3 linked regions of the Lepisosteus oculatus genome follow. The protein of the gene in region 1 interacts with the protein of each later gene in a pairwise test. Links are inferred from orthologs where the notes say so. Each region holds a gene or a part of one and is shown on either strand. Other genes may lie near its edges.

What was found.
Region 2: the proteins of erlin1 (region 1) and fa2h interact in binary tests that used the Homo sapiens proteins (3 or more experiments, as listed by UniProt). The two-hybrid records come from large-scale screens. The link is inferred for Lepisosteus oculatus from reciprocal best matches to the Homo sapiens genes ERLIN1 and FA2H.
Region 3: the proteins of erlin1 (region 1) and agr1 interact in binary tests that used the Homo sapiens proteins (3 or more experiments, as listed by UniProt). The two-hybrid records come from large-scale screens. The link is inferred for Lepisosteus oculatus from reciprocal best matches to the Homo sapiens genes ERLIN1 and AGR3.

The regions. Positions count from the first base shown.
Region 1 is NC_090699.1:17,617,463-17,627,910, forward strand, and holds the start of erlin1 (erlin-1), read right to left. Parts: upstream 3,791-10,448; 5' UTR 3,660-3,790; intron 865-3,659; 5' UTR 847-864; coding exon 734-846; intron 1-733. Other genes in the region: chuk (inhibitor of nuclear factor kappa-B kinase subunit alpha), read right to left, coding at 6,832-6,891, 9,154-9,253, 9,414-9,550, 9,979-10,126. UniProt on the Homo sapiens protein: Component of the ERLIN1/ERLIN2 complex which mediates the endoplasmic reticulum-associated degradation (ERAD) of inositol 1,4,5-trisphosphate receptors (IP3Rs).
Region 2 is NC_090715.1:11,401,640-11,411,846, reverse strand, and holds the start of fa2h (fatty acid 2-hydroxylase), read left to right. Parts: upstream 1-5,405; 5' UTR 5,406-5,505; coding exon 5,506-5,781; intron 5,782-10,207. UniProt on the Homo sapiens protein: Catalyzes the hydroxylation of free fatty acids at the C-2 position to produce 2-hydroxy fatty acids, which are building blocks of sphingolipids and glycosphingolipids common in neural tissue and epidermis.
Region 3 is NC_090707.1:21,563,502-21,573,473, reverse strand, and holds the start of agr1 (anterior gradient 1), read left to right. Parts: upstream 1-5,170; 5' UTR 5,171-5,267; intron 5,268-6,561; 5' UTR 6,562-6,565; coding exon 6,566-6,665; intron 6,666-8,024; coding exon 8,025-8,088; intron 8,089-8,759; coding exon 8,760-8,812; intron 8,813-8,989; coding exon 8,990-9,066; intron 9,067-9,437; coding exon 9,438-9,501; intron 9,502-9,972. Other genes in the region: traf3ip1 (TRAF3-interacting protein 1), read right to left, coding at 1,608-1,730. UniProt on the Homo sapiens protein: Required for calcium-mediated regulation of ciliary beat frequency and mucociliary clearance in the airway. Might be involved in the regulation of intracellular calcium in tracheal epithelial cells.

The DNA of each region.
Region 1 (10,448 bases):
TACAATGGCCGACTCTGCACTCTGACCTCAAAGCTTCTCTCCCTGTCTGTGTGTCTCATGGAGAGCAAGCTGGGGTATGCAAAAAGACGAATTCCTAATGCAAAAAATTGTATATGGCCAATAAAGTGATTTTAATCTTAATCTGACATCGCTCACAGGCGGGGCTTTGGGGCGAAATCAGAAAGCGGGACCGAATGGGTTAAGGAAAATCGGTAAATGTCAGCGGAGCTCACAAACAGCAAAGCCACCCCAGAACATACCCACAGGGCTGTTTCCACTGTGAATGAGGAACACCGTAAACACAAGTCACAAGACCGACATCTAATTTCTTCACAGGTTCAATTTCTTTATAAGAAAACACAACTGAAGCTTTAGAAGACTAAAGGGAAAGTGCACACACCTTGAATGAACCTCAACCACACCAGGGATGCTCAGGGCAAGGCCCCTGCGAGGCCAACAGCCTGCTTCAGGAAAGGATGTTGAAACAAACGCTGAATCTCCTTCACACTGTAACGCCAGATCACACTTCCCTATAAAAGAGAAGTGCTTCGTGCACAAACGCTCGCCTATACCCGTCTTTTTTTCGTAAAAACATTTGCATGGGTGTTGTTTATCTTTTCTCATTCCTTTTTGCATACTGCCGTCGGACACGTGCGATCCAGCGCACCACACGTTTCCTTCCAGCTCGCGTCACTGGGGAGGCTGAAACGGCGGGCCGAGACACGGGACGTACCTGTAGTACACAGCCAGGTGTCCCTCTTCGATCTTGTGGATAGAGGAGTGCAGCAGGACAGCCAGCACGCCCGTCACAGCAGCGACTACAGCCCCGACATGTGCCATCGCCATCCCCGCTCCCGCCACGATCTGGGCAGGGACACAGAGCAGACGCGTTGCACTGCAAAGCCTTTCACAAATCTCCCTCTCTCTCTCTCTCTCTCTCGACTGTGCCTTGTGACAAACGTAGAAGGCAGTGTTGCCCGTGTGAAATACTGAAGACGTCGTGTGGGGAAATGTGAACAAGAGAGCATGAGCTGGCAAGCACCAACTTCAATGTGCATTTTTTCAAAATGAAATAGGGGAGGTTAACATATTGAGTTAAGTTAGGGGTAAACCTGGCTGTTTCCAGGTTTAATAATGTTGTGACATAAAGGGGTTCCCAAAGACACCAAAGTGAATTCCATCATATCCTTAACTGAAACTAACAACCTACTCCCCCTAATCTCTACAGCTTGAGTAAGAAATTAATTCCTGCTTGTCTTCACATCTTAAACAACACATTTAAGACAGGAGATTACAGTAAAGCAGAACTCTGTGGATGGAATAATACATGTCCTGAAGCCATTTTAATGTGCTCAATTTGAAGACGTAAAACTGATTGCACTTTAAATACTGGGAAGGTTGAGGACCAACACATACCCTAAAGAGCTGACAGTGTGATCAAGAGTGATAAAAACACTCTTGCCAAGTATTTACGTATAAAGACCGCATAAACCAGGCTTAAGCTAGACTGTTTAAGCATGCTTAATTAAAACACTGATAAAATGAGAGAGGAATTCAGTAATACTACACTTGGGCCAGGTCTCTATAAGTCCTTAAGAGTGATTTTCTTTTTACACAGCTCATAGAAGGTACCACCTACCTTAACCAAGATGTTCAAGAGTCATAGCGGCAGCCTTGGGTACAATAACTGCTCAGAAGTAGAACATGTATATACAGTACTGTGACACATTTCATTTCAGAACAAGGGAAAAACAGGTTTCACACTGAGGTGCAGGAAGGTAACAAGTTCTCTGGGAATGACGCATACTGAAAGAGGTTTACAGGAATGCTCCAGACCACTACAGGCCCGAAGAGGTTTAAACCAGTGCTGAACAGATCATGTTCCATGGCGGGCAGGTCGGTTCCAGTGTGAGACAGCTGATCCCTTCCACCCAGCCCACAGCTGTGACACATTCCACAGCAAGAAGCAGGTGTCCCCAGAGCAGGCTAGGCTGTACTGTGGGCTCAGCTGCAGTCACGCCCCCTGATAACTGACAAGCCCACGAAACCAAGATCCACATGTACTGCAAATGATGTCTTATACCAACACCGAGAATGCACAACCTAGTGAGTTCACACAGTGCATCACAAACACCCACTGAATCTCCAGGTTGAGCAGTATGTTACTGCATCTATACAGGCATAAGAAACAAGACAGGTTTCAGATCTGTAAAGTGCATCAAAAGCATAGGGTGGCTGAACTTCAGCTTTTCAGACTGACTCAAATACCACCTTTGGAACTCAACACTAAATGAAATGTGTGAAAATGAAATGAAATGTGAAAAGAGAATATTGCACAGGTACTCGGAACAAATATTCGAAATCCTCAAAGTCCCAGCGGAATTCTCCAGACTTATCAGTGAAAACCTATCCATGCCTTTAAAGTTGAATTCCTTTTTTTATTTAAATTCTATTAGAAATTTAAAGAATCAAAAGGCAAGGCATACAATGGAAATATGTAAAAAGTATAATTTTAAGTTTTTACAATTGTGAATTCTTCTGGCTTTGAAGTGTTTATTTCTGTATCTATTTCATTATGGTGTTTAAATAAGAACTTGTTTTTTTTTTAAAAAACGTATCAGTGAAAAGCGAACCACTGGATTCAAGTAGAAACTATGGGGAAGTGCAATATAACTGAGAACAGAAGCGCTTTTTCACACAGAAGCCTGGTGTGGGAGTATGGCTTCTCTCAAGAAACAGACGAAACTCTCCATTCTGTCCGGGAAACATCTCACATTCTTTTAGCAAACACAAACTGGGCCTCTTCAGATTTGCCGTCCTTGAACTAAACCTTTGTTTTGGTTGCTCTTTCCAAGTATAACAACCTTGCTTAAGCCCATCCAGTGGATTACCCTGCCTTCCTCGTCTCCCGTGAGCAAACACCGTGCTCTTGCGCCTCAAATCCACAAGGAGCACACATGAACTCAGTTTAGCCTAGATGTGTTCCTAATGTTCTTGTCTGCTCCTTTTTTTTTAAATATAAAGGCACTTTCAGATGTATATTTAAACTTTCAGTTTATAGTTTGAGGTAATGCTCAAAAGCAACTTCAGGCGCTCTAACGATTTACTGTCAGTGTAAAACGTGATCTTTAGTCGGAGGGAATGACGTTAAACTGGAAATCGTGTCCAACATGATTTTTTTTGCTTGCCGTATAGTACATGTTCGTTTTCGTGAAGGGCTACCTAAATCGATACCTCCTGCACAATTCCAGTTGTATGGAGACAAATATACACATTCAGAAACGGAGAAAAAACACGAGTTACAACATGACCGGATCTTTCCCACAAGCCACAGTGGCTTATCGCCCCAGGATCTTGCTACTGTCTGCAGTAACAAGACCGCCACTCCGGACTCGGGACTAGCGGCCACAAGCACGAACGCCGCCCCTCTGCCCGTGTCCGTTCCTCGATTAAACCCGCAACACGTTATTTCAGCGAAGTTTTTCGATGCAATCGAGCTCTCCAACTCCCGAGCCCACGAACCAGTGCGGATTCAGCCAGTTGCACGGCGTGTAGCAAACAGGGAGGAAAAAAAAAAACTCCATGACGGATTACCATAATGAGTAATGGATTGCACACGTTAAATTAATTTAAAAAAAATCCCAATGCACTCTGCTCACCAAGCTTTCAAACAGTCTCTTCTGACAAGTCGGTTATGAGCGAAATCCTCCCTGTCCATCCCCCCCGCAGGACTCACTGCAGCAATGGACTCGACTCGCAGCTCCAGCGCCGCTTCTCTTCCGGGTGAAGAGTGCACCGCCCGTTAAAGGGGAGGGGAGAGGCCGGCCTGCCTGCCTGCCTTTGCAAGTATGCCGACGGATTTTGCGCTTAACCAGGTCTTACCGATTTTCGGTGACTCAACAGCTGTCAAATGGTACGGGTGATTGATTGCTCGACGGTTGGCATTTCGTGACCTAATCGCACTCCGAACCGAACACCCGTTTTTGAAACGGGATGAGGGCAAAACATCTGCGGGTTAGCGCCCGGGAAAAATAAAAGTCCCCCCCCCAGGAGTGTTTCTGGAAGACAATGCCTTTAAATCGGAAGATATTAGTTCATCGAGAAAAGGTGAAGGTACAACGCCAAGAGCAGCGAGATAAGCGCAGAGCGGTATTTGTCTTGGCACGGATTTAAAAAAAAAAAGTTCACACAGGGACGTATTTCACCGAACTACATGTGCAGGAGGGGCTGGTTCTGAATGTGTAGGTTTCCGGAAAATGATTTACTAAAGGTAACAGAAAAGATGTCACAGCAAAACAGAAATGACTTCTGTGAAGATGCAAGAACGGGCAGGCAACCCATCTGCCTTGCGCGTTTGTGTTCGCCCGGAGGCAGGTTCCCCGGGAATGTGTGTGTGGAAGGGTATCGGCAAACCAGCCGGTGTCTGTGCCCAGGGACTGTAGAACTGGGGGTTGCATGTAAGCTGTGAGACAGCGGATCCAAATATGAATTTGGCGGAAGGCTTTTAGTAGGTATAAAACTTCACTTGACCGGAAGGGGAAAAAATGCAGTTCAACATCACAGCATGCAGTAGTAAATCTTTTCATAAAAGTAAATAATAATTCTGAGCACTAAAACCCAAATCAACACATTACAGGTGCAATTGTGGTATTACATATTTAATTAATCACAATAATATGCATTTTTACACATTTACAATCAAACTGGTGTACACACTTTCAAAACTGTACAATTCCATCATTTAACAATTCCCAAACAGTATAAAATTACATGTTACACATTATCAGGTGTGTAGCTCTTCAAAGCAAAGCAGCATAAATTCATCTAAAAGATGCATCTTATGGACTAATAACAAAAAAAACGTCCATTGCATTACAATAAGAAACTATTTTTACAACTGCAAATTTCCTTTCAAAGAGCAAACTCCACTTCCATGTCCTTTTCAGTAGCAAATATGTAGAAATATTAAAAGTAACTGAAGTTGCTTTGTAAATCTTGCAGCTTATGACTCCAAAACTTGAAGTCTGTGAAAATATGTACTTGGTCTTGACAGCTCTCCTGGAGTTGAACCGTTTTGAATTCTGGGTGGCACTGCTTCATTTATGGTTATAGTAAGGCTTCACAACTGCTGTTTGACAATGGAACAAACAGAAAACACTGTTCACAGGCATTTCAGCAAGCACAAGAGAGATCTGTGAGCTCACAATTACAGGACACATGTCAGAGGTAACATAACCCTGCAATGGTGGAGCTCCCCCAGTGGCAGGACCTGAAACAGTCTTGAAATGGCCCGGGCATTTAACAGGCAGACTGTTCTGAACTGTGAGGATTAAGGTAAGGTTTCAGATACCACAGTGAAATCTGACCATTGATTAAAACTACCAGTATTATCAATTTATCATCATGTCTGCTAGCTGTATCCTTGAGAAAGGCAATTCACTCAGATTGCTGCAGTAAAAGGCCCAGCAGTGTAAACAGGAATGAATATAAGTCACTTTTTAAAAATGTCAAATAAATTAATACAACTAATGATGATGTGTCTTATAAGAAAAAATGGCCTTTAAAAGTGGAAGAATAAAAGAAAAAATAATTATCTACAAATTCTTTCCCCTTGAATTTTACAGAACGGCACATTAAAGTCCGGTTTCTCATGAATGCTCATCTTCTAAATACTGCAAGTTAACATTTTCCCTTACCCAGTTTCAAACTGAAAATCTTACAAAATCAGTTTTCTGTCAAATTCTGTTTACGTAGTAGACGAATTCCTCAACACTAACACTGCAATAAGATTATATAAAGATTTGTCAGCTGTGCAGTTCTATACAGGTGTAAAGAAAAACCTTTACTTCTGTCTGAAGGACTGTTTTAAGACAGTTCTGACAGTCATTCCATAGAAGGACTATATGAAGCAAACTACTACTTAGAAATCAGACCAATAAATAAGTATTCAATTGCAATTTTAAAAGCTGTATGTGCACACAATTATATGCGACTACAAACGTCTACTTTAACATTCCCTGAAGAGAAAGTCATGTACTGCCTAAATCCACTTTTGACTTATAAAAGCAGTCAGAGATACAAACAAGCCTAGAAACAGATCTGAAAAAACTACTACAGACAGTAAAGAAATTATAGTTATATGTGGGGTAATAAAATACTCCAGTGACTATTCCACTGGTAAAGACACATCCTCCACTTAAGTTCACAGTGAACTTTTAAAGTGCATTTTCAGATCATGAAAAATTTCACTGTTTAATACGATACTACAGCATTATTCCTCCCCACCCCCACCAACACCAATTGAAGCGGCCCACAAAAATCAGATTCTGTTAATTCTGTAAATTTTGATAAGTGTCCTACTATTTTCTAAAAAGGAACCATGAGAAAATGCACAAGGTAGCAAGGAGAAAAGTTTTTTTTGCATTACGTGCTTATATTTATTCCGTCCTTCATAGTGGTTCGGTTCAGAAACGAAAATGCACAGAGTACACGATGTCAGATCACATCTTCAGCTTGGAAGAAGAATTTTCTGACACCTCTTTGTGCAAGCAGACTTCAGGCAAACGCTTGGGGAGATAAAGCCCATTACTGACGATGTACTGCGCACTGCTCTTTTCTGCTGCACCTCATCAGAACGCACGTTCAAGCGTCCACAAAGGAACATCATCTTGCTTCAAAACAACCGAGAGACTGGGAAGCTCATGCCTGAAATAAACTATGCTCTGATAACAAGGGGGAAGTGCTGGTAAACAGATTTCAAAACAAATACCATTAGTGTTAACAGATGAGGAAGTCAGAACATTTGTCTGAAAGCCACACTGCTGCAAAAGTTTACATTTTCGTCCTTTTCATGGACAGAGCTTCATATTTTGTCCAGCTCCAATCTTGATCCTAAAATAATAAAAAAAACAATTTAAGAAAAAGGAAATCTCCACTCCTTAGGTTTTAAATTAAGGTTAAAGAATTGTTACAGACAACCCTGGCACTCCAAAGTCCAACTGAAAATACTGTATTATAGCCTTCACCCACCAAAAAAGTTACACTTGTTTCTGTTACCATTTGAATACCCTGTTTTTCTAGGCACGACTTCTGCCCTGCAGCTCTGCAAAGAGCCAATGTGGAGAAAGAATGTGATGCACAGTAGGCTGAGCACTCTGTATTTGTAAGACATGTTCTAGAGCTTGTTTGTGCATCTAAAATCATTCACAGCTTCCTGCTGAAACAAAAACAAAGTCAATGTATACATCAAACAAAACAGGAACATAAGAAATACTAAGTACAGTAATCCCTCACTATATGAGCAACCACTATATGGGTTTTTGTTACAAAAGGTGTAGTAAATCCTACCTGTTTTTTTCAATTAACAAGATTCTTCTGTTCACTTACTTTTTTTAATTTTTAATTACATATTAACTTTTATAATAAATGCTTATGTGCTTTAAGTATTGTTAACGCCAGCAGCCATGTCACCCTGCAACTTAAAATTGGCAGCACACTGAAGCTCAGCAGGTGTGAGCCTGGTCAGTACCTGGATGGGAGACCTCCTGGGAAAAACTAAGGTTGCTGCTGGAAGAGGTGTCAGTGAGGCCAGCAGGGGGGGCTCACCCTGCGGTCCATGTGGGTCCTAATGCCCCTGTATAGTGACGGGGACACTATACTGTAAAATAAGCGCTGTCTTTCGGATGAGACATAAAACAGGTTCTGACTCTCTGTGGTCATTAAAAATCCCAGGGTGTTTCTCGAAAAGAGTAGGGGTGTAACCCCGGCGTCCTGGCCAAATGTCATATTCCCCCTAATAATCCCCCTCTATGAATTGGCTACAATACTTTGTTCTCCTCCCCCCCCCCACACTTCGAGGGCAGGCAGAGCGACGCGCCGGTTGGAGTATTCTTGGTCGCATTTAATGGCAACGTCAGCTCAAAGATTTGGTTCAAACCACCAAATTGAGATGGGCGTGCTGACAAGCAGACCCTGCTGATGCGGGATTAACGCTAGGATGAGAGAGTGTGCTTTAAGTATTGTTACAGCTTTGGGTGACCGAGAAATGTCTCTTAGATTTTAGATAAAGTTTGACACTGGGAAGAGTAAACACTTCTAGCTTCAAAGCAGAGAGGATGCTTGCTGAGGTCTGGGGGTCCCTTGAACAGAAACAATAGTACAGTTGATCTTAGTATGCCTAGGCCAGTTGTGGTTTAATGACTGCAAAGGAGCATGGCAGAAAGACACAGTATAAGAACACAATAAGATCACCAAGAGGGAGGAAGAAGGAAGAAACAAGTAGAGCAGGGAGAAGAGGGAGGAGTCTGGAAGATTTGGGACTTGAAGCTTGCACCAGGCGAGAGCCCCTTCTTCTTGATCATCCAAATCAAACCTGACTGGGTCTAAGTCAGTCTAAGTCACTTAGTCTTCAAACCTTGTTAGAGATTTTCATCAGTTTTCTAAACCCCCATCTGTAACAGTATATATTAAAGTACTGAATAGTACCTAATGCATCTGCTACTAACTGTAAAGATGTAACTACTGTACTATATATATGTACTATACATAAATAATGTAAGTGTTATTATTTTTCTACCCATTTTATTTATGCACTGGTCAATGACTTAAGCATGTTACATGAATAACTAACCAAAAATATTAGTTTTCATAGTATGGTACTGTCCTGTGCAGTACTAGGGTGAAATTTGGACATCTGAGTGAACATTTTGGGGTTCCGAAACCAATCACAGATTATAACACTTCCATTATAGGAGTTTTCACTCTACAAGACATTTTCGAGGAACAAATAAAGCTTGTATAAAGAGGTATTCCTGTACTTTTTTTTTTTTTACTGTTGGTGTTGGAAGATTATGCTACAGGACCTTTTAAGGATAACATTGCCAAAACAAGGAAGTAGAACCTGTAAGATCATACAAGTCATATTTCACACTTCATTTATTTCATTCTTAGTCACCTTCCCAGTTCATTATGAGAAGAAAGTAAAAGCAAAGTTCAGATAATAATAGTACCTTATGTTTTGAAAATAATCCCAGCCTGAACGTGCTCAGACATGGTCTTTTCCTTGTATGTGAACATACTTGTGGACCAAATCAATGTATTGGAAATTCTTGTCCTACTACAAATGGACCAGTTCTCCCTGCCACCTGGACTCACCATTATACTTTTCACTTGCTCCTCAGTGGTTTCCTGCATCAGGCTCGTCAGCTGGCTAAGATACATCTGATTCTCTTCTAGTAAGCGAGGCACTGAGTCACTGTTGGAGACAGAAGACAGGATATTATCTGTGACTGTGTATTCACAAGGCACAGAAGATCTGGGGTTCGCTGCAAAATATGCGAACAAAACGGAATAAGCATTTTCTTTCCTCAACTTATAAATCTACAGCATGTTTCTCTCTTTTCCAAGTTCTGCACCTGTCATTTGGTCCATGTAAGGATGTGAGTGGATTTGGTGAACTGATGGGCTGCCCATGCTGTGTCCATGCTGAGACCCGTGGCGAGCTGGACGCCTCCAGACTTGGATTTATAAGGGTTCGCGATGAATTCTGAGCCTGAGAACACACCAGCAATAAACAACAAAGAGCAACATTTACATATTCTCCCACATCTGTTCTTCTGCCTTTTAATTACTGTATGTTTGATACAATTTCTCCTATTAGTTTACATGCACACATTATATGGTATCAATAAAATATCACAGATTATTTATTCACACTAAATTATAATAAATTCAAAATGTTTTATTCATTCTTAAAATGCAACTCGAATCTTTACAACTCAGTACTATACATAACAATTAGACAAGAAGAACAAGGTGCCTCCTTCAAAACAAAATGGAATCAGAACTTTTATCATTTTTATTATTCCTTTCATCAGCATCAGCTAAAACAAGCACATCAGCCTCCAAGACACTGCAGACCTTACCAGAAGTTGCTCCCACCTAGTGGGAGTTCAAGAAGGGTTAAAAGAGGTGACTTACACAAGCAATCTTCAGCAAATGCCAGAATTCTCTCTGTCTCTTCATCTGCATCTGCATCACCATGTTGTCAGCTTCCTTAATGTTCTCAAGGGCTTTCTCAATCTTTGGGAACAAATCGATTATCTTCTGCTTGCTAGATAAGATCTTGCTGCAAAGGAGAAAATTTACGAAGCATGTGTTTAACATGGAGAGAACCAAACTGCTTCTTCTTCTCATTTGACAATTTTCAGGCAATCTTTCTGAGATGTTAACATCAAAACATCCACTTAGTTGTTTGTGTAAATCTGGTGTTTAAAAACCTACAGAGCAGTATCTTAACACAACTCAAGCACCTTAATCAGAAATGTATGCTTTTTCTACAGCAATAAAAGCAAGTTAAACTAATTTTAAATTAAATTTAAATTTAATACATTTAATAAGGTGTGAGCAGAGTTGTACCTGTAGCTTCAGACTCATTACTACGGTCAATA
Region 2 (10,207 bases), on another chromosome or scaffold:
CCAGGAGGTAAACGACTCCTGGACATAATACATGTTTAGGTGAGGATTGCTTTAGTGCATCAGCTGAGTCATCCTCGACTCAGGACGTGGGCGTCACAAAACTGTGTACAGTTTTTAAAAATAATTTCGCAGTTAAAGCGAAATACCCACATGCTTTCTCCAGACGAAGCTTCAATACAGTGAATGCGACATGTCCACAAGGTGGCACTGCTACATTTCCTAAAAGAAACTTTTTTTTTTTAATCGTCATTCTGAAACGCTTGTGCAACACGTCAGGTAAATAATATCAGTTTCATTTCATGTCTTTCAAATTGTGCAGTCAGTACAGTGTCATTAATCCTTATTAGATGATTACACGAACGAAACTAAACACCATACAATGAGCACAGGAAGACAAACAAATCAGAAAATGCCACCCGACCCGATAAAAGACCTGCACACAGCCAGAATACAACAGAAAGAATGAGAACAGTCCACTGTGGTGTTTCACGCCCTTTCAATTGATTTTCATTCTGATCTTGCAAGGATTACAGTTATGGCTAAAACTGTGTCTACAACAATAATATTTATTATGGTGCAAAAATATTCTGATTCACACAGCCTAGCAAAGAGAGATACCACAGAATAAGGAAATTGACAGAGTGCTAGCACGTGAATTTAGGGTACTGTATATTATGAACACAAGGAGAACGGCAAACAACCAATAAAAAGCATTGTGACAAACCCGTAGAGACACAAGCAATGAAAACTCTGTGATTTCAAATGTTAAATTGGTAGGACTTGCAGTTGTTTGTGTACAATTGCACCACAGATGTCTAAGAAATTAGATAACTCTAATTTAATACTCATCTGCTTGTCAAAATAAGAGGTCTGACCAAGAATTTTAGCATTTTGTTATTAATGGGGTAGCAGCTGTCCTGGACAAACTACCCAGCCATGTTGTTGAAACTGGTCTAATATTGGAATTCAATGTTTTTTCTGAAACTGGTATCCAGTTGTACAATAACACATATTAAATCTAATTATACAGGTACTATCACATTTAACACTGGAGTTAAATGTGCAGTTTTAAGTGCTCCTAGTCAGCCAGGTTTAATAAGAGTGAAATATTTATCATTTAATCTAATTGAACATTGGTTTCTTGGAACACATTAATTCATATTGAATTAAATCAAATTTGTATTATTTATTTTCTTACTATTTATTTATTTTACTTGTACCTTCAAGAGAAAAAAAAAGTGGTGTTTAAAATAAGCCCACTAACGTGCTTTCTTTTCTACCTCAACATATTTCGCTCAAGATTTTGTTTTTGTTGTCTTTAGGAAGCCTGGTCTTTTGGTTCGGAAGCTCCTACAGTTGCGCAGTTAGGATTGAGGGTTTTTGGTCTGGGGTTAATTTTGTGGCTTGTCATTTCATTCATGTTAGTTTTTTGCACACAGCATGACTGCCTTTTCTGGTTTCACTGCTGTAGTGCATCACACGTCCCGATTCTTCTTGATCTGAACATGAGAATTGAATGCATCTGGACACACTTACTTCATCCACAGCTCTTGTTCAGTATTACCACTGCTCTGTGTAAGAGCCTGAAGAGCTTTCAGCCTCTGTCCTGTGGTTTCACATCTTCATGTGTTTCACTGGCTGAAATGGATGATGTGTCGATTGTGGTTTCTGTATTGCTTTTCCCATGAGATCACATTCTGTACAAATTAAAGAACCTCCCATGTTCTTTCACACAGGCTCCCCGTCTGAGATGCTGGCTTTTCTTATGCGAGATATTGATTGTTAGGGGAGTGGATATTCCATGCATTTCTGTTTTTAAGTTTCCTTTTCGTTTGCAATTCTCTTTTTGCCGCAATGAATAAAAATGCCTTAAAGAGGAGCTTCCTCTTGGCCAGGAAATCACTCAGATCATCTTGTGATCGGCTTGCAGGCCAGGCCCCCTTCCACAGAACAGCTATGTGCAAGGCCTGCGCGTGCGCAAGTGTCTCTGGCTGTGTGCATGAACGAGCTGTGACCCAAGCCAAGCATCTGCTGGGGAAACCGCTGCGTGTCATCCAGGCCAATTCTGCACCTGGTGGCTGAAGTGAGTCCCTGCATATTTTTGAACTGCTTTGTGATCTCTAGGGATGAAAGGTGGTGCAGTATAAAAAATGAAAGGAATTTATATTATCCACGAAGAACAGAGAAGAAATGGATTAACTGATGCAAGAATGTCGCTGTGGGCTCCTGCTCTTTCAGTAGGCAGAGCCAGAAAGGAAGCTGAGATCAGAAGATCTGGCATGTGATCAAATTACTGGTGTAGGAATGAGCAGTTTAGGTTAATGGGACTTTCCAGTTGAGCCTGTTAGAAACCGTAAACATCTGAAATGAAGGAGAAGTAACCGTGTGAAGCAGTCAGACTATTAAACTAAACCAGGTCTACTTTAATTGAATGTTTCATAGCAAGACCTTTAAATAATTCCCAAACCAAATACACTGACAAACTTTTGACAAGAAACAACACCATGACACCACTTCAGAGACTCCAAGGAAGAGTATGTTCACGAAAGCAAAATGTTTTTGAAAGCAAAAATGTTTTCTGAGAAGTCTGGTTATTGATGTTTGGAAAGCTGAACTCAGGAAATCCTCTCCCACAGACTTAAATGAAAGAAGAGGTTGGGGGGTGTTCAAAATCCTGTTGATGCAAATGAAGTGAAATTTTAACATGCAGGAAGTATTTTTAGGTAACTGAGGGTCATGAATGATAATATGCGTAACAGAAATTTGAAAAACCAAAATAGCACACCAACGTTCAATATTTTAAGACAGGGTTTCAGATCTGGCATGAGTCATGGGTGCCTGTTGACTTCTTTTATTTTGGAAAATTAAGTAGGACACTAAGCAGCACAGTGCTGTAGTGGTTAACATGGCTGCCTTGTAGCCCTGGGGCCCTGGGGTGCTATCTTGGTGGAGTTTGTACTGTATGTTCTTCCTGTATTTTTGTGGGTTTGCTCTGGGTGCCCCAGTTTCCTCCTACAGTCGAAGTACTGGTAGGTTAATTGGTTTCTGGAAAACTGAGCCCTGGCATGAATGTGTATGTGTTTGAGTCTGTGTGTGCCTTCGACGGAGTGGCGTCCAGTCCAGCGTGTATCCTGCTTTGTGCCCTTTGCCTGCTGGGATAGTCTCTAGCTCCCCTGTGACCCTGTATTGGATAAGGCAGTGGGTGGATGGTCATATACAAGACTGGCAGAAACAAACTTTTCTTTAGGGTCTGAAGGCAAAAGCTTTTATTATACTTCCCTTTGACTTTTACCCTTTATAAAAATATACTAGTAGGGCTGTCCAGTCCTGGCCCAGTGAGCCTCTACAGGTTTTTATTTCACGTCAGTTCTTAACAGGCTAAATCTGCTTGTTATTGGGTTAATTGGGCCCATTTAATAACTTCCATGAGCCCTTCAGGTACTGATGATCACTATAAGACGTAAAACAACTTGCAGATACAGGGTTTTTCCATGTATGGGTTTTAAAACATCAACAAACATCTGCAAATTCTTCCTGATTAAGACATGGATTGATCCCATTAACAAGACAGGGGTCTACAACCCTGCTACTTGAGAGCTGTAACCCAGCTCTAGTCTTCTATGTTACCAGTTTCTAACAATTGGCAACACCTGTAAGGCATTCATGAAATAAGCGACTCATGTATTCAATTAAGAGTGCTTTAATCCTAGAGGCCCTGCCGGAAAGCGCTCCGGCTCCAGGATCCAGGTAGTCCAGTCCGGGGTTGGAGAGCCCAGCTCTGAACAACCGAAAGGCAGCGCTCGACTCCAGTTTCACCAACAAAGGGCTTCGCTCCAGGCGGACGATGAATATTTAATGAAGCTAAAAGTTCTCATGCTAAATTCACGGTTATTAATTTAGCCATGAATAATTTATAAACAAAGCACGGGAATGAGACAGGACAGTGCAACGAAATGCGGGGGCAAACAGGCAAACAAATCTTTCTACCCCTGTCCCGTCCGCCCCAACGAAAATATCATATTAGTCCTGAAGCCGTCAGATGTCACAAGAGCTGTCTAATTTCGGTCACCTGTCAGTTTCGAGGTCGGGATATTCTTGGCTGTTTCTGGCCGCTCTACACAAGTCGGATACACGTGAATGCTGTGCTCACCTGCTTGATCTCATCTCGCCCTTTCCAGTTTCGCTAAACCTGAAATATGAAAAACTCTACAGATGCTTTCGCAACAGTTGCCTTGATTTCGCCACAGGATACAAACCATGGGCTTTCTCAAACTCTCTATCCCCTCAGCTATTCCCTCTTCACGCCTCACAACCGCGAACTGAAATCATGCCAAAACACAGTCCGTGATACACGTCCGATAAACTATGCATTCATGTTTCCGTTTAGGACTTTATTCGAAATAGAATTAATGCAGAGGAAGACCAGGACATATTTCTACATCATCCGTGTGCCTTTTCACCTCCTCTCCACCTTGGTTCCGAATAACTCGCGGAGCAACATTTTGACACCGTGATCTCATCGCAAACCCCCCGATTTTCAAAGCTGCGTCACTACCATGAGTGGGACGGGTCCTGAGCGTCCGCTCCACCTGTCTGTGCACGGAGCTCCTCTTCGGAGATACTCGGTCAATGTTTCAAAGGAAGTAGAGGCGGTTGACGGGGTTGCACGTCTCATTGTCGTAACATGTGTCGCGCACGATGTCTTAAACACGAAGGTTGTACAGTATTTCTAGGTAGACGAAACGCGTCTAGCTCCGGCAGCAGCTGCGCTGGAGTCTGATAGTTGTGTTACAGGTGGTTTTAACACACTACACGCCCTGTTCTATCACTGGTTTTTCATAATGCGCTAGTCAGTCACATCCCCTGTGCACTTTCTTTCTTGATAAACGCTTTTTATAGCCAGCTTGTCCAGCTTTTAGAGCAGTCCTTCGTGCCAATTAAGCCAGTCTCATGCGGCACACACAGAGCACCATGCTGCACCGGACTGACGGAAAGAAAAAACACAGAAAAGCGACCGAGTCACAGACAGCAGCAGCATTTGGGGGGCTCGGCGCATGTGAGAGATAGTCAGTGGGCCGTGAAACACTGTTCTACAGCTTAAGAGCTGAAGAGCAACGTAGCAAAAAATCACAGGAAGTTCATCGCTTCCTGTGTACGTGTGCTTTTTGTTTAATGGAAACGGCGAGATTGGGTCTGGAAACCTCAAGTCTCTGGTAGTCACAGGCGAGATTTCGTTTTGAAATTTCTGTTCGTTATTTTGTCGCCCAGGTAGGCGGCAAGCCGGGCGGAGCCGTGCCAGCAGCAGGTGTCTGCTGAATTATTCATGCCCAGGTCGGGCTGGGGCCAGGAGTCAGGTGTGCGCTGCATATTCATGAGCATGTTAATGAGCAGGTGGGTGTCTGGGGCAGCGCGGCAGGGAGCGCAGAGTCAGTGAAGCTGGTCAGTCTGCTCGGAGCTCCGCTTTTTTTACCCCAGACGGTCAGTTTTCAGCTTTCCCAGAGCCCCATGTCCTCGCCTGCGCCGGTTCGGTATTTCTCGGAGTCGGAGGTGTCCCAGCACCGCTCCCCCAGCTCCTGTTGGGTGCTGTTGGCCAACAGGGTCTACGATGTGACTGGTTTCCTCAGAAGGCACCCTGGCGGGGAAGCTCTGATTTTAAGCCGAGCGGGGACCGATGTCAGCCGACAGATGGAAGGACCTCCTCACCGGCACTCAGAAAACGCCAGGCGGTGGATGGAGCAGTATTACATCGGGGAACTGCGCAAAGACCCTGGGGACACGCAGGTACGCAAGCCACCAGCTGTTAATTTCATCAGCTCTTTCGGTCTAGAGGGCGTTTATTTAATTTACCATTACTTCGTAATAAAACGTAATTAACCAAATCGGGAAGTCTTGCGACCAGGCTGCGGCGCCAGTCAAGTCAGAGCCGACGATATCGAAACACCGCTGCGGCTCCTTGAAACTCAAATTTAACGGAATTTGGACAGACTTTTAATTTTTTTTTTTGACGCCGGTGCCAGTAACCTCCTGTCCAGATGAACTTTGTATGAAAAAGGCAAACCGGGCACGTTAGTTCCCACACCCACGCCGCAACTTACAGCCAAATAACCCATCTGCCAAAACGGAAAGCATGGAGAGCCAGCCCCCCTCTCTGTCGCCTGCAGGTGCGATGTGGTTAGCAAACCCTGCACAAAAAGTGGCGGTTTTCAACACCACCTTATGGCCAGGGGTCTGGGAGAGCTCCCAGGGACTGGGTGTGAGTTTCCCGGCCGCCGGCAGCTCGGCCATGGTCCGGCACAAGTGGTTTACTTTCTCCGCTGCCGAGAGTCGCTAGCAGGGGAACGGGCCAGTGTGTCTGGGCGTGTCCTACCTGCGCAACTCGTATCGCAGGTACGCGAAACAGGATAATAACTAGGAAATAGTTTCGGGGCGAAGTACGCATCTGAGCTCAGCGGGTCTGGGAAGCTCTAACCAATATGCGAGGTCTTCAAGGCAACAGCGCTTGACTTAAAAACGAAACCCATGCCCGTGTTATCTCCTTTATTGGACATTACAGAATGTGTTCTAACGTATCGTTTTCGTGTACCTTTTATTTGCAGTATATACTTTAGATCGCGCCTGTTTGTAACTGCTTGGATTGCTCTATCGGTGTTGCGTTATTAAATCCAAAAATGTAGCAAATGAACAGTGACTGATAGCAGCCTCTAGTTAAAGCATGTGAATGCTGTTAAAATTATCAAAATGCTCAGCGGTGATGACCATCATAGCACAATGGTTCATGTGGCATGGATCAATCAGTTGCTTAAGCAGGGAGACTTAACATGCTTTCTAGATATGCTGGTTGAGTGAAACCTGTAGGACTCTAGGACCAGGTGTGCAGAACTCTGGACATGGTCACAGTGTGGTTAGCCCTTAGCACCTTTTACTAAGGGAGAAACATAGCAATTTTCTTTAGCCAAATAGAGTGATCTAAATATCCATTTACAGGTCAACAGTGCCAGTACTCCTCTCCCCTTTACATTCTACTGCTGTCTTCCACTGAGTACTTGCATGCCTGTGAGCATTAACTGTCGATCCAGTAGTAGCGTTGTGCTTGCGAAAAACGTAGTAGGAATGCACAGTATGAGTAGTGTTGTCTAGTCTTGGTTCTTGGTTGCAGGGTTTCATTCCAGCTCAGATCTGAAGCTAAATTGACGTATTGGCTAAATTGGACAAAATTAACAACTGCACTCTTTAAAAGCTTCATGTAGACGTGATGCAAGGTTTTCATGTATCTCTGTGAATCTCAGCCCCCGATGAGGACATAACATGTATTTAAATATCCAGTGCGTCACTGGAATTGAAATGGAGAAATGCTCAGATTTCTTTAGCAATGTTTGATATTGAATCATGCTATGCTGAGCAGACTGAAGATAAGCCCAGCTTTGATTTCTAGGCATTGTGTTCAGTTACCATTAGTGACTGTTTCTATGAATGACCTGCCTACACAAACCTTGTTTGACCCTAGTTTTGGGAGAGGTCAGTATTTCTGTGGCATTTTTAGAACAAAGTGGTCCTGTTATCAATGGACAAACCAATTTACTTGATATGCGTTTTGTATCCTGAGTAGGGGATGACTAACTCCGTCATTCTGAAGACCATATCTGAATTACTGTTTAGATTGCCTACGTTACCACCCCAACTAAAACCCCATGTTTTCAACATACAGTATTCTCATCTTAACAGAGTGGTATGTCATGAAACCTCATTTGGTCCTCCTGCTCCTTAACTTAGTCAAACATTACTGGACCAATTTTTGCTGTGTCCTTTCATTCATAACAGCTGCATTAATATCTTCGGTAGCTTCTTTACCAAAGTAAGCACAGTTTATTTTTACAGATGTGAGCTAAATTCTTCAAATGTGTAAAAGGCTTTTTTCTCTTTTTTTTTTGTCACGTTAAATTGGGACTACTGGGCTAGTCTCATCCCTGATTCCTTCTGCTCTAGATTTAGTTCTGCATCACAACAGTCTTGGGTTTGTTTTGACTGTTTGAGCTCTTCTTTTTTGAAGTGTTAGATTCAGTTGAGTGGAAGAGTGACCCCCCTAGAGAAAGAAACTGACGGGTGGTTACGGGAGGTGTGGAAAGATGAGATCTTTTCCCTGGACCAGTCCACATTGATAGAGATCGCTGCTCGGAAGTGTGATCCGCTGTGCTCTCCTCTGCCAAAACCATCCTCCGCCAGGTTACCATCATTCTCAGTCTTGTGTTTATTTCCTACAAACTACTTCTTGCAGATATCCTGCCTTCATACGGCTATCTGCAAAATGAACTATGGTAATGTTGAACATCAGAGGCTATCATTAAGATTACTTGGTAAGGGGTGATTTTGGTGTAGCTGTTTGTAAATAGGCCATGTACTCAGGCCAGTGTCATCAGATAAACCTTTGGACTGTGCACTTTCCTGGAGTTTGGCACATTTTGGCCATTCTGGTCAGTATATGTCATGGTTTTTCATCTGTCTGTGGAAATCAATAATCAGACCTTGTATCGATTTTTGGAAAACATTATTTAAGTTATTGGTATACTGTTGTTGACATTTTTGCTGGTGGAACTAGCATAAACCACATTCATATAATATCATTTTGTGACCTCCTAGAGGACTTTCAACACAGTAGACTCTGTTTCCTCAGTGTGTGAGACAGTATTTCACTGGACTGGCGTTGTTTCACTTCTTAACACTGCCCCAGCAACTTTTCCTGCTGGTCTGGATAACCTTTTAATGTGTCTGACATAAATACGCAAATGTCACCTTCAGATAACTGTGCCTTTAAAGCACCAGCCTGCCCTGCTGGTGTATTCAAGCCTAGGTTAAAACTCATTAAAGAATGCTTTATCAAAATTTACCTTCCATTAATTTACACATTAATGCAGTATCAGTGTGCAAATGTCACCATGTGCAGCTAAACACAACTTCATTTATGGCTGACTTCTTAAAATGTATTTTTGTTTCTGCAATATATTTTGAGTCATTTTTAGCTAATTTCCCCTTCCCAATTTGCAGAAGCTGCAGTAGCTGATGTATGTAAATTTTGAGGGCCTAGTTAGTGGACAGCCAGTTTCTCTATCAGAGCAGTAGATTTTTGTAGGGCCTGCATCAATTTAATTGTCTGAACTCCTCCTGTGTCTTTTCAGAAACTCTTAGCTGATTGTCCCCTTGTAATGCAGATTCCTATGAGGAATTTAGTGTCTTTTTATCTGTTTGTCCTTCAGGTCATTCTTCCTGTCACTATTCAGTTAAACATTTAGACTGTTAGTAGGTGTTAGGCCAATGTGTTGCACAACAGACAAGAGAAAGAAGCACGCTTCACTTATCGTTTTCCCACATTTTCTGAAAAAATTAAGTATTTCATACTGCAGTGAGTGTATTTGGCTGAAAATGTATTGGGCAGTGAATTAAGTGGAAAAGGAAATTTTTACTACTGTTTCAAAACTGCACTTTCCCCAACCCTTTTTAATAAAACTCCTTCAACTACAGTTATTCGTTTAAAACCTTTAAATGGTTTTGAGCTCTTGAGCAGGGGATATCTTCTATTTGTTTTGTGAAATGTTGTAGATCACTCGAGATCTAGAACTCCTCAAGAGCTGGAAAGGAAAAGCAGCTCTTTTAAAGCAGAAATGAGCACAGTCAAGTAACTGAGGGCTGAGCTGTAATATAAGTAAAAAAAAGACTGAGAGTAGAGGCCACAACTACGGGATGTAGAAACCTTGGAGAAGGAGGCCTGGGGCCGTTGACCTTTTCTCAAGAAAAGGAGAACCGGTTGTGCTAAAGGATAGAAAATCAGTCTCTCTGTGGACATGAGGCTGGGCTGTGACCTGTCTCCACCGTGGCTGAACCTGTCTGCCCACATGGCAACTGGTTCCATCTGGTTCCCGCCCATCTGCCGACCTGAGTAACCAGTTGGCGTTGCTTGGAGAGTGTGCCTGCTGTCACTCACTGTTTTTTTTTTCACTAATTTTTCTTTTTGGAACAAAAATGTGATGTTTAACTGTGCTTCTAAATAAAATAACATGACAGCTGGCGCAGAGTCAAAACGGGAAATTCTATCAATAGGTAATATCACTCACGTTTAAAGGTGGAAAAATGTGAAAGTTCAGTTCAAGACATTGGGAGTTCAATGGTGCAGAGCTGAATGGAAGCAGGAGGAGACAGTGTGCTTGGATTTGGCATC
Region 3 (9,972 bases), on another chromosome or scaffold:
CAGTAGCACAGTTTTACCATGACGTACTACCAAAGCAGACTTAATATTATCACGACCATAAACTTGATGAACAATGATACAAAAACAGAGAGAGCAGCAAATATAGACACAGTAGCAAAAGAAATACGAAGAGACAAAATCATGGGGTAAACAGATACACAGCAAATCAAATTTAAAATAAGTGCAGTTATTCACACTGCTACAGTAATAGGATCGTATACTACATACTGTATATCATACAGGTGAACTGTCGGGAGCTACACATGAAGGGGTTTTTAATGTAGACACTTCTAAGCAATGACTTAATAAAACAAAGTTGATAAAACAATAAAAAAGCAAATTGAATCCTTGGTTTTATATTAAAAAGTGCAGAATTTAAGAAAATATCTACTTATTTTTTTTAAATGCACTACAAGGACCTCACTTTACAATTGCATTTAGTTTTTAAAGTCTTTCTAAGAATAATTCCTACAATCAGGGCTTTATTATACAATAATGTAGGGAGCAGAGATTGAGAGAAGATGCAATTATAAAATGCTGTATATAAAATGTCAAGGGTTAAGCCAGGAAATTCTTTCTCAGTATTAAAATAAGGACACAGGGAATTCATTGAGAATGGAAAACAAGAAACACTTCTTAACACAAATGTTGTTGGCTTGTGGAACAACCTTTTCAGGTTAAGGTTAAAATATTGAGCGCTTTTAAGAAACAGCTAGACATAAGAAAAGTTACAAACGATATAAGTCCTTCTGGTTCATCTAACCCATTTGCTAATTAAAGAATTAATTCATTCAAGGATTTATCTAGCCATTTCTTGAAAGATGTAAAGGGTAAAAGCATTAATCTCTGTACAGATGTTGCTCCTAATAAAATAATGCTTTGCTAGACCAAATTGTTTGAATTATCAGTAATAATTATATACTGGATTTGAGCGACACAAAGTAAAATAATCGTTTTGCTAACACCTCAGTAATATTAATTAGCGACACTGGCACAATAAAACAGCACAAATTATTTAGCTACCATTTTCATGACACAGCAGGACAGCGATTAATGTAATGTGTCCTCTGTGGGGACACATTACGGGATTAAAACCAACTGCTATGGAACAGAAAACTTTTTTTTTAAATAAAGGGTAGCGTGACGGAATCAAACACCGGGCAGAAAATGATGAGGTATATTTGTATTTTACGGTCCTGTATTTAAATAACTCATCAAGGCCTCGCATTGTTTAGTGTACTTGAGCAGAGACCAGTGCCTAGCAACCAGAAGACGCCAGTTCGATTCTACATCATTCAGACAGTTCAGGTGTTCACCGCATACCCTTTACAGCATTTACACTGAAACCGACTATTGTCCGTTTTTTAAAAAAATACAGTTATTTAGGTTACATCAGAGAACTTAACTGCATTTTTTAAATTTTCTGCAGCTGAGCCTTTACTACTCTTTATTCCTGAACAGCCTCACCCCAAACTTAGTCCCACTGAAATGCACTACTCCGAAACAAACACACACAGACCAGAGAAACTCCTCCTTGCAAACAAGCCACGGATATTTCAACAAATCCAATTTTTCCCGTTGTCAGTCATTGCAGTTCTGTTTCTCACCTCGGTGAATATATCATGCAGGTAGCGGAACGGCGGTTTACTAAGCAGTTTTTCAGTAAGAGGCGGCTTCTTAATCACTTTTCCCAAGGTATCTTGGGTCTTCTTGGTCACTGACGCGTTCATAGCAGCAGCAAAGCAAGACAAACGCCAAAACAAAAGTCCTTTAGGTGAAGACGAACCGAAAGAAACACTTCACCACATAAATTCTGCAATCACTGGGCTTTCAGTACGTCGGTATCTTCCGATCCCACAATGCATCGCTAAACCTAGCTGCGCCTGCGCAAGTGACGTATGGTTGTCAAGCGAGGCTTGCATCCTTAGCAACAAGTAACAACTGAAATGCAAAGAATTCCAAAGGCTCTTAGAATTGGATCGTTTGAGGTCCTTTTCTAAAAACCAAAATATCTGCAGGGCATTTATAGCTGAAAAATTAATTAAATGTTCATGGTTTATTTCATTCTTATTTTTAAGTTATTGCTATTGATCAATGTTTTAACACTGTTTTAATTCAATTATTACTAGAACGTTTCACTGAATTTACAGTAATGGAAAGTTAATGAACAACTAAAGCTGTTAGCACTGACAAAATCCCTGTATGAGTTTGAACTTGATCTTTATATGTTCTTGTGCCAAATAAGTTATCAAGAATTCCTGATGAGGAAAAAAAATCAACACCCCTTAATCTGAGTTATAGACATCATTTGAATTTTTACCATATGGGATAAGAGTTTTTGTTATTCATGTAGCAAAAATCCTTATATAAAATGTACTGTAGGAGATTAATAACAGAAAAGGAAATAAAACCAAGTTTGAAGTAAATAATTCTAAAGTAAAATAATTGCTCTAGCACTAACACAAAGCCATAGTTTTTTGTACCTTTATCTAAAATTAGGAAGTATAGATAAACTGTAACCTAAAGGTGTCTGTGAAGAATGAGATGGAAAATAAGGAAACCATTTTTAAAACTTGAAACTTGTTTGCATTTTTCTTTCAAAACATTTTAAAAACTAATCAATCAATCAATCAATTACCCCCATCTAATTAATGAGTTTGCATGTTTGTAAAGGAAATTTATATAGAAGAAAGCTTAAACAATATCAAGTTAAAATCTATAATCTAAAAAGTCCCATATATAATGTATAAAAATGATTGACGCATTAATTGTCCAGTATAGAATATGTATTTCAAGTTCTAATATTTTGTTCTGTATTCTTTCTTTTGTGAAAACCTTAGTATTAGTAGCTAAAAAAAGCTTTTATAGAAAAATATACTGCAACTATAACCACAATTATATAGAATTAGAATCACCTTGGTTTTTTTTCTCATTTGCTTTGTTAACCAACATTTAAAAAAACATAACTTAACAGTTCATAATTACACATTGGATATTTATCTCTCCCCATTTAACTCTAACAAAACTGTGCTTTTTACAAGAGCAATCTTTACAGATTAAACTTCTTCATGTTCTCTAGATTCCATCAATGGAAACATTACTCCAATTTCTCTACACAAAATCTTCAATAACCCCTCAAGCAATTTATGTAAACTACTTTGAAAGTAAGCAGCACATCACCATTAATGTGCTTTAATGCAGAGATCCTGCAGCCACTCCTAACTTTAAACATAAGAGTTTCTTAAGGTAGTAACAAGGATATACCCTGAAACAGGAATGTCTGGTGAACCATTTAGTTTATCTTTCACTTTTAAGATGATTAAGTGTGGAAGCTTGTTTGTTCTTCTGTACGGGGATCCAGGAAGTTAGAAATCTTCATAACTAGATTATTGCTTTTACTGATCCCATATAATTTTTAAATTCATTTTCATATGAATAAAGAATACTTAACACCTACTGTAATATCAGAAGTAAAATCTAGAATGAACGCTTTATAAAGTATTGTGGATCTCGGAAAACATCATTTTTCATTAAATAAAGTGCCTAATTCATAATAACTGTGAAGTGAGATGGCTGCATAAAAATTAACACTTTTATGTACAGGGGCTGTTTGCGCATAGGGGCAGCAAAGTGTCACCCAGGTGGGTGGTGCAGGTCAGTGATGGATGAAGTGGGCCCCTTCTCTGTGAAAAGCACTCGGGATTTCTTGGAAGGAAAAGGTCTATGCCAATTTAAGCACATGTTGTTATTATTAAGTTTAAATTGATTAGAAAATAGTTAAACCCTGTGAAAGACACAGTGATAAAAATGTTCATTCATAGCATATAGTTTATAATACTACTTAGTAAATTGTTTCAATAAAAGAACATACAGTAGGTGAATATAGTTGAATAGGTCTTTATCAGGTGTGCGTCAAGATGACTTGGTTGGACACACCCAAGGGAACAGATGAAAAGCGTGCTTACAGTTGGGGAGCTTGCTATAGCTGATGTGCACATCTCTGAGTGGTTAGGGTATACTAAGCAATTAAGGTCTTGTTGCATTCAGGGGATTATGAAACACACCGTTTTCTTCGTGAAATGTGTACTTTTTGTTCTATTTGCTGTACATTTTCTTTCTTTTTTGTTTAATGCTTTTTCTGAAAAAGATTTATGGTTTCTGAAACTGTGTACCACTAAGTAGCACTGTGTTTTGTCTAGGCGTGCTTTCAATCACATAACAGGATGGGAATATGGAAAAAATGCTGGGTTATGAAGTACTGTATATAATGATATTTTTGTTTTTAAAATAATAAATTACAAAAAAACGAATGCCAAAAGATCACTAGCTTGTTAACACAAGGACGTCAGGAATAAAAAAAAGTGAGAAATAGAAATAGTGGAATCAGTTAATAAACAGAAGCACGTTGATTGCTTTTTCTCTCTCTTTCATGCCAAAATTGAATAAAAGTGAAATGATTTAATAAAAAGTTAATCAATAACATACCTTAAAACCAGGTATTGATTTTTAAAAAATCTTAGCTACAAAAGGACAATAATTCCATAAAAAAAGTAAAACATATACTACAGAGTGAGTCTCATCTTGTACTTTGGTGCTGTACCAAGATGTACTTTAATACAGGTCTTCAAGCATAAAATTCAGAAGTATTGTTATTGTGGTTCATGAAAATTTCTAGTATCTTGTTTGTGTCATCATATTTTGCTTCTTAAATGTAGATGAATAATGAGAAAAAAACATTGAATAAATTATTGTTTTTAATAAAAAAGTAAGTCACTAAATACATTGATAGTTAGATCTTTCTCATTAATTTTCCTGAATACCTGAATGCCAAAGATGTAATTTAATTTCAGCGTTCAAAACTAGGTTCAAAACATAGATTCATTCCCTGTGGTTTCCTACAACCACAGGTAGGTTTAAAATGAGTGGTACTTAAAAAATTTAATTTAGATTAAAAGATTGAATCATTTCTGTTAAAAAAATACAGAACAGTAAAAATATATTATGAAGAAGCCTTTCTCCACCTATGATTAAAATCAATGGGATTAAAATTGGGTTTAAAGGTGCAGTATAAGCATTTATGTACTGTAAGTACTTCCCTACCCTGAGGCGTGTTTGAATAGTGTGTTTCAAAGATAAGGATATCCTGGTTTGTTATGCCTGACGTTCAAGCTTTGCTACACCTGTTAGATGAGTTAGATGACTATAAAAAGAAGGCTTGTGAGGTAAGAATTCAACGAACATTCACTCACATTTCAAGACAGCAACAGGTAAGAACGAAACTTGGCTCTTTCGTACTGTATCTAGGTGATTGAAAAAGTTCAATCTTTGAAACAGATTTATCTGCTTGGTAAATATTCTTGTAGAATACTTAAAAGCAGTATTACTCATCTCTAGTCAACCAGGATTATCATAGAATTGGTTTTACAAATATATTTGACTAATTGTCAGCATTAGATATAGCAAAAAAATAAATAAATAAGTGATTAATAATAATAATTGAGTAAAGAAGGGAATTATTAAATTGAAGAAGAGTTAAACTTAATAAATAACAGCTCTTTGTAATCCCCACAAACTGGAGACAAGTGTTCTAAATCAAGCTAGTCCACATGAGATAAAGAAACCATCACTAATTCAGAATTTTGCTGTGACATTCCCCCAGGAAAGTAATTCTATATTTGCTATACAGTAGCTGTCAAAACGTCAGTATAGAAAAATATAAACCAACCCTATTGGAAACCAAAACAGAAACAAATAGATGGAAAACATTAGAGGGTGGACAGATCTGATGTAAAGGGGAAACATGCAACTTAAGGACATTTTTTACTTTTCTCAAATACTGTTGTGTCATTCTATTATATGAGATCAATTATAACAAAACGAAAACTAAAGTATTACATTTGTAAAACGCTCACACTTTGTGCTAGAAATACAGTAGGAAGAGATTCTCTCTTAAAACAATTGTGTTGAATCTCCTCCTAGAACAGGTTAGTCCTGAAACAGGAATGCTAAAAGACAAGATTGTGGAAGTGCAAGCAGTATTACATGGGACTGATATTTCTGATGTCTTTAAAATTCTGAAATATATGCTTCAAAAGGGTTTCAAGGGCTTAGGCAATTTGATGATTCATTGATATCTGGTTCAAGTGTTATAAGACAAACTCGGGAGCATCTTTAAAATGTAATGGTACACAACAAAGGTTAAAATACTGTATGAAAGGCAGGATTATAATCTATATTATTTAAAGTGGAAAGTTTTGTATTTGAAATCAAACTCATTTTTATACAGTAGTTTTAAGTACAAGTATATATAGCACTAAAATCTAAAGTATCATTTCAAAGTAAAATGGGTGTGTTAATAATTGAAATCTTGATTCAAAATCCAAACAGAATTATTTCAGAAGACATCTAGAAAAAAACTAGAATGCATCTACTGTACATGTACATCACGAAATTGTTTCGACTGTGCCATAAACAGAGACCATTAAATGCTGCTAATTGTGAAATTTTAAAATGTTGAAAAAGAAATAGTACATGTATTAATAGTAGATCTGTCTTTTTCAGAACTATGAGTCGCTCCTCTGTTCTTTGTATCCTGCTTGTTGTAGCAAGTCTGGATGTATCTGCTCAAAGAAAAGCAAAAAAGGTCCCTCAGACCCTTTCCAGGGGTAAGTACAGCTCTTCTAACATTGTGAAATACAAATCTTGGATAGTGTGAATAATTAGGGTTTGGAATCCCAGGCAAAATCGAAACTCCGTGCATTCAAATGGGTGGGGTCTAAGTACACAAAAGTAGTCAGACAAGGAGAGAAAAAACCATACTGCTCTTTTATTTTTTGTTTACAGACAGGCACTGTGTTTTCTGACCAAGCAAAGGCAAAACAAAAGCTTGAATCTTTCTTTGGCCCTCTGACTACAGTCTTCCACTCCTTTGCTATCAATAGTATTAATAATAACCATTTCTTTACTGGTAATGGTATAATTCCTGGGCCTTTTCAGGTAGTTTTCCCTGGTTTCTTTATCTTCTCTGAATTAATTCTGTGATTTTGTAATGTACCTCTTTGCCTCTACAGAATTTCAAAGAATAGAACTGTGGTGTTGCTCCAGACATGACACAGCTAACAGATACATGTTAGTTGTGTCTGTTTCCCTACACTGTTACTTGAGGGCCAAAACTGGAAATAACTGCAAATTAAAAATATATTTGTCACAATATCATGTGCTTGCTTGCCTTATTCTACTAATTTGTGGGTTACAGTCAGGCCCTACGAGAGGGGGAGCCAGCAGGGCCATTTGGCCCAGGCCTCGCCTCACAGGGGGGCCTCACCTCAGCCAAGGGTGCATGGTCCTCCACTTGAACCCTTTGGCTGTGTTTCTTGACTTGAGTCAAATTTGGAACTTTTACCATATGCTGTGATTCCCGACTAAAGTCCATGGCTGTGACAAAATGCCCCCCTTTCAGTGCTGAATATACCATTCTTTAGGAGTTTCAAAATGCCCACCTTAATCTTCCCATCATGCCATTCTTTACCCCTCTTCCCAAACAACGAGGGGGCCTCACAATGTGAAATGGCCCAGGCCTCATCTGAGCTCTCGGAAGGCCTGGTTACAGTTTAGGAATTGCAATTATTGTCATGACTACAGCATGGATTTTGGTTAGAGCCCTGGTCACATAACTGGAAGGTTGTGGATCTCAAATCATGGTTAGGGTGCTGCTGTAATACCTTGTAACAAGGTCCTTCACTCAGATTGCTCTTTAAATGTGAGTTTGCAAAGGTGAGTTTGCTTTGGATAAAGATTTCAAATGCCAAATAAACTAATTAATAAGGTAATTGTATCCAGTGTGTACTCTGGATATTAGTGTTTACCCCAGGAAAGCCTCATTAGACCTGGGGCCATACTTGAGCCACACACACCTTCATTTTTCTAGTTTTGTCTACAGAACCTTTATAACAAAACTATTTGTAACTGATATATTCCTATTCCCATTATTAATAATAATGATCAATTTCTGTGTGATATTTTAGGATGGGGAGATGACATTACCTGGACCCAAACCTATGAGGAAGCTTTAGCAAAATCTAGAACAAGGTAAGGTTTATTATCCTCTACACTTTATGGATAGATTTCCAAAGCTAATGCTCATTCACATTTAAATAACCAGTCCTAGCAAACTCTTAAGGTTATACCTTCCCAGTAGGTGTGTCAAAACAATACGCATTAAAGCTTTGCAATTTGTATATCTTCAGGGCTGCATTGCATGTGTTACCTATCCTCATATTAAAAACCCTTTGTTGGAAATTCATACTTCACTGATACAATTATAAGCAGGCAAGACGTACATGAGAAATGATCAGTTTAAAATTTGGGCAGTAGGGTGGTGCAGTGGTCAGCATTGGTGCCTCACAGTGCTGGGGCCTTGGGTTCAATTCTTGGGGTGCTATCTGTGTGGAGATTGTATGTTCATCTTGTGATTGCATGGGTTTCCTCTGGGTGCTGTGGTTCCCTCCAACACTTCAAAACCACACTACACGGGTTAATTGGTTTCTGTGAAAATTGGTCCTGGTGAGTGTGTTTGAGTCTGTATGTTTTTCCTCACTGGTATCCTGTCCAATGTGTATTCCTGCCTTGCACCTGTTGTTTGCTTGGATAGGCTTCGGCGCCTCTGTGTCTCTGTATTGGATAAAATGGTTAAGACAATGGATGGAAGTTTCAATATACTTCTTGTATAGAGATCATTGTTGAAATCTTTATTTTTTCAGTCAGAAGCCCTTGATGGTTATCCACCACCTAGAAGACTGCCCGCACAGTCAAGGTATATATGTGTATTCTTAAAAATACTAGATTAAATTAAAAGTTCTTCATTGGATCTTTCCTCATGAAAAAAATATTATTTGCATAAGAAGATTTAAATGATGTCATAGTCATCATGTCTTCCATTTTTTATTATTCTCTATGTATTTATATATATCTATCCCTTTGTATGTCTAAGCTCTTAAAAAGGTGTTTGCTGCTGACACTGAGCTGCAGAAAATGGCCCAAGAAGACTTTGTAATGCTTAATCTGGTGGTAAGTTGGAGACAATTATTAGCCAGTAACTTTAATCAATTAATCCCGTTAAGAATGATTATTGTCTTCATTAACAGTGGTGAAAGACTTTCAGATTTTTAGTATCAGATTTTCTGTATCATCCTACATACTATGGTGGCACTGAAGTCATTCAATGTGAATATCTGCAGTTCAATTTTATTTGTCCCTCTACTTTGGAAAGCTTTACCAGTACAATTTATTTGTTTTGAATAATAGAGATTTTATTGATTTGTAATTAAGAAATTAGTCATGTTTTGTTTTTAACTATTCATTTGTCTGGAATATTTTTTTAGAGTTTTGTATCTAAGAGTATATATCTCAGACTGAATACTTAATATAACGATCCACAGCATGAAACCATAGACAAGAATCTGGCGCCTGATGGCCACTATGCTCCCAGAATTATCTTTGTTGGTAAGTTAATAACAGTATGTATAATATATATATATATATTATTTGTATATATTTTGAAAAAGCTCTGTATAAATACAAGGAATTATTATTAATCAAATATTTCACAAACCATCTCATATAAAAACAGCAGCAACAACAAATACTGCTATACTGTACATTAACTCTAAAATTCCTACAGACATTCTAACATTCCTAGATTGCAAAGGACTCCTACAGAAATCCCCCTTGGGAAAATTCTACTCATTTCAAAGAAAATAGAGATGACCTGTTGACACATTTTTGTGGAATCCTGCAGGTTGTTGTGCGTCATAAGTATTTGATGTAGTGCATGTGGCAAAGGCAGTGATACACATTAACATCTTGCCAGAGAAAAGATAAAGGAGGACTGTGTGACTCTAAATAAAATTCCTGGGTGTCAAAACATTGTCTAGAGAAGGTCAGAGAAGCTGGAAGATTACCAGACATCAGCCT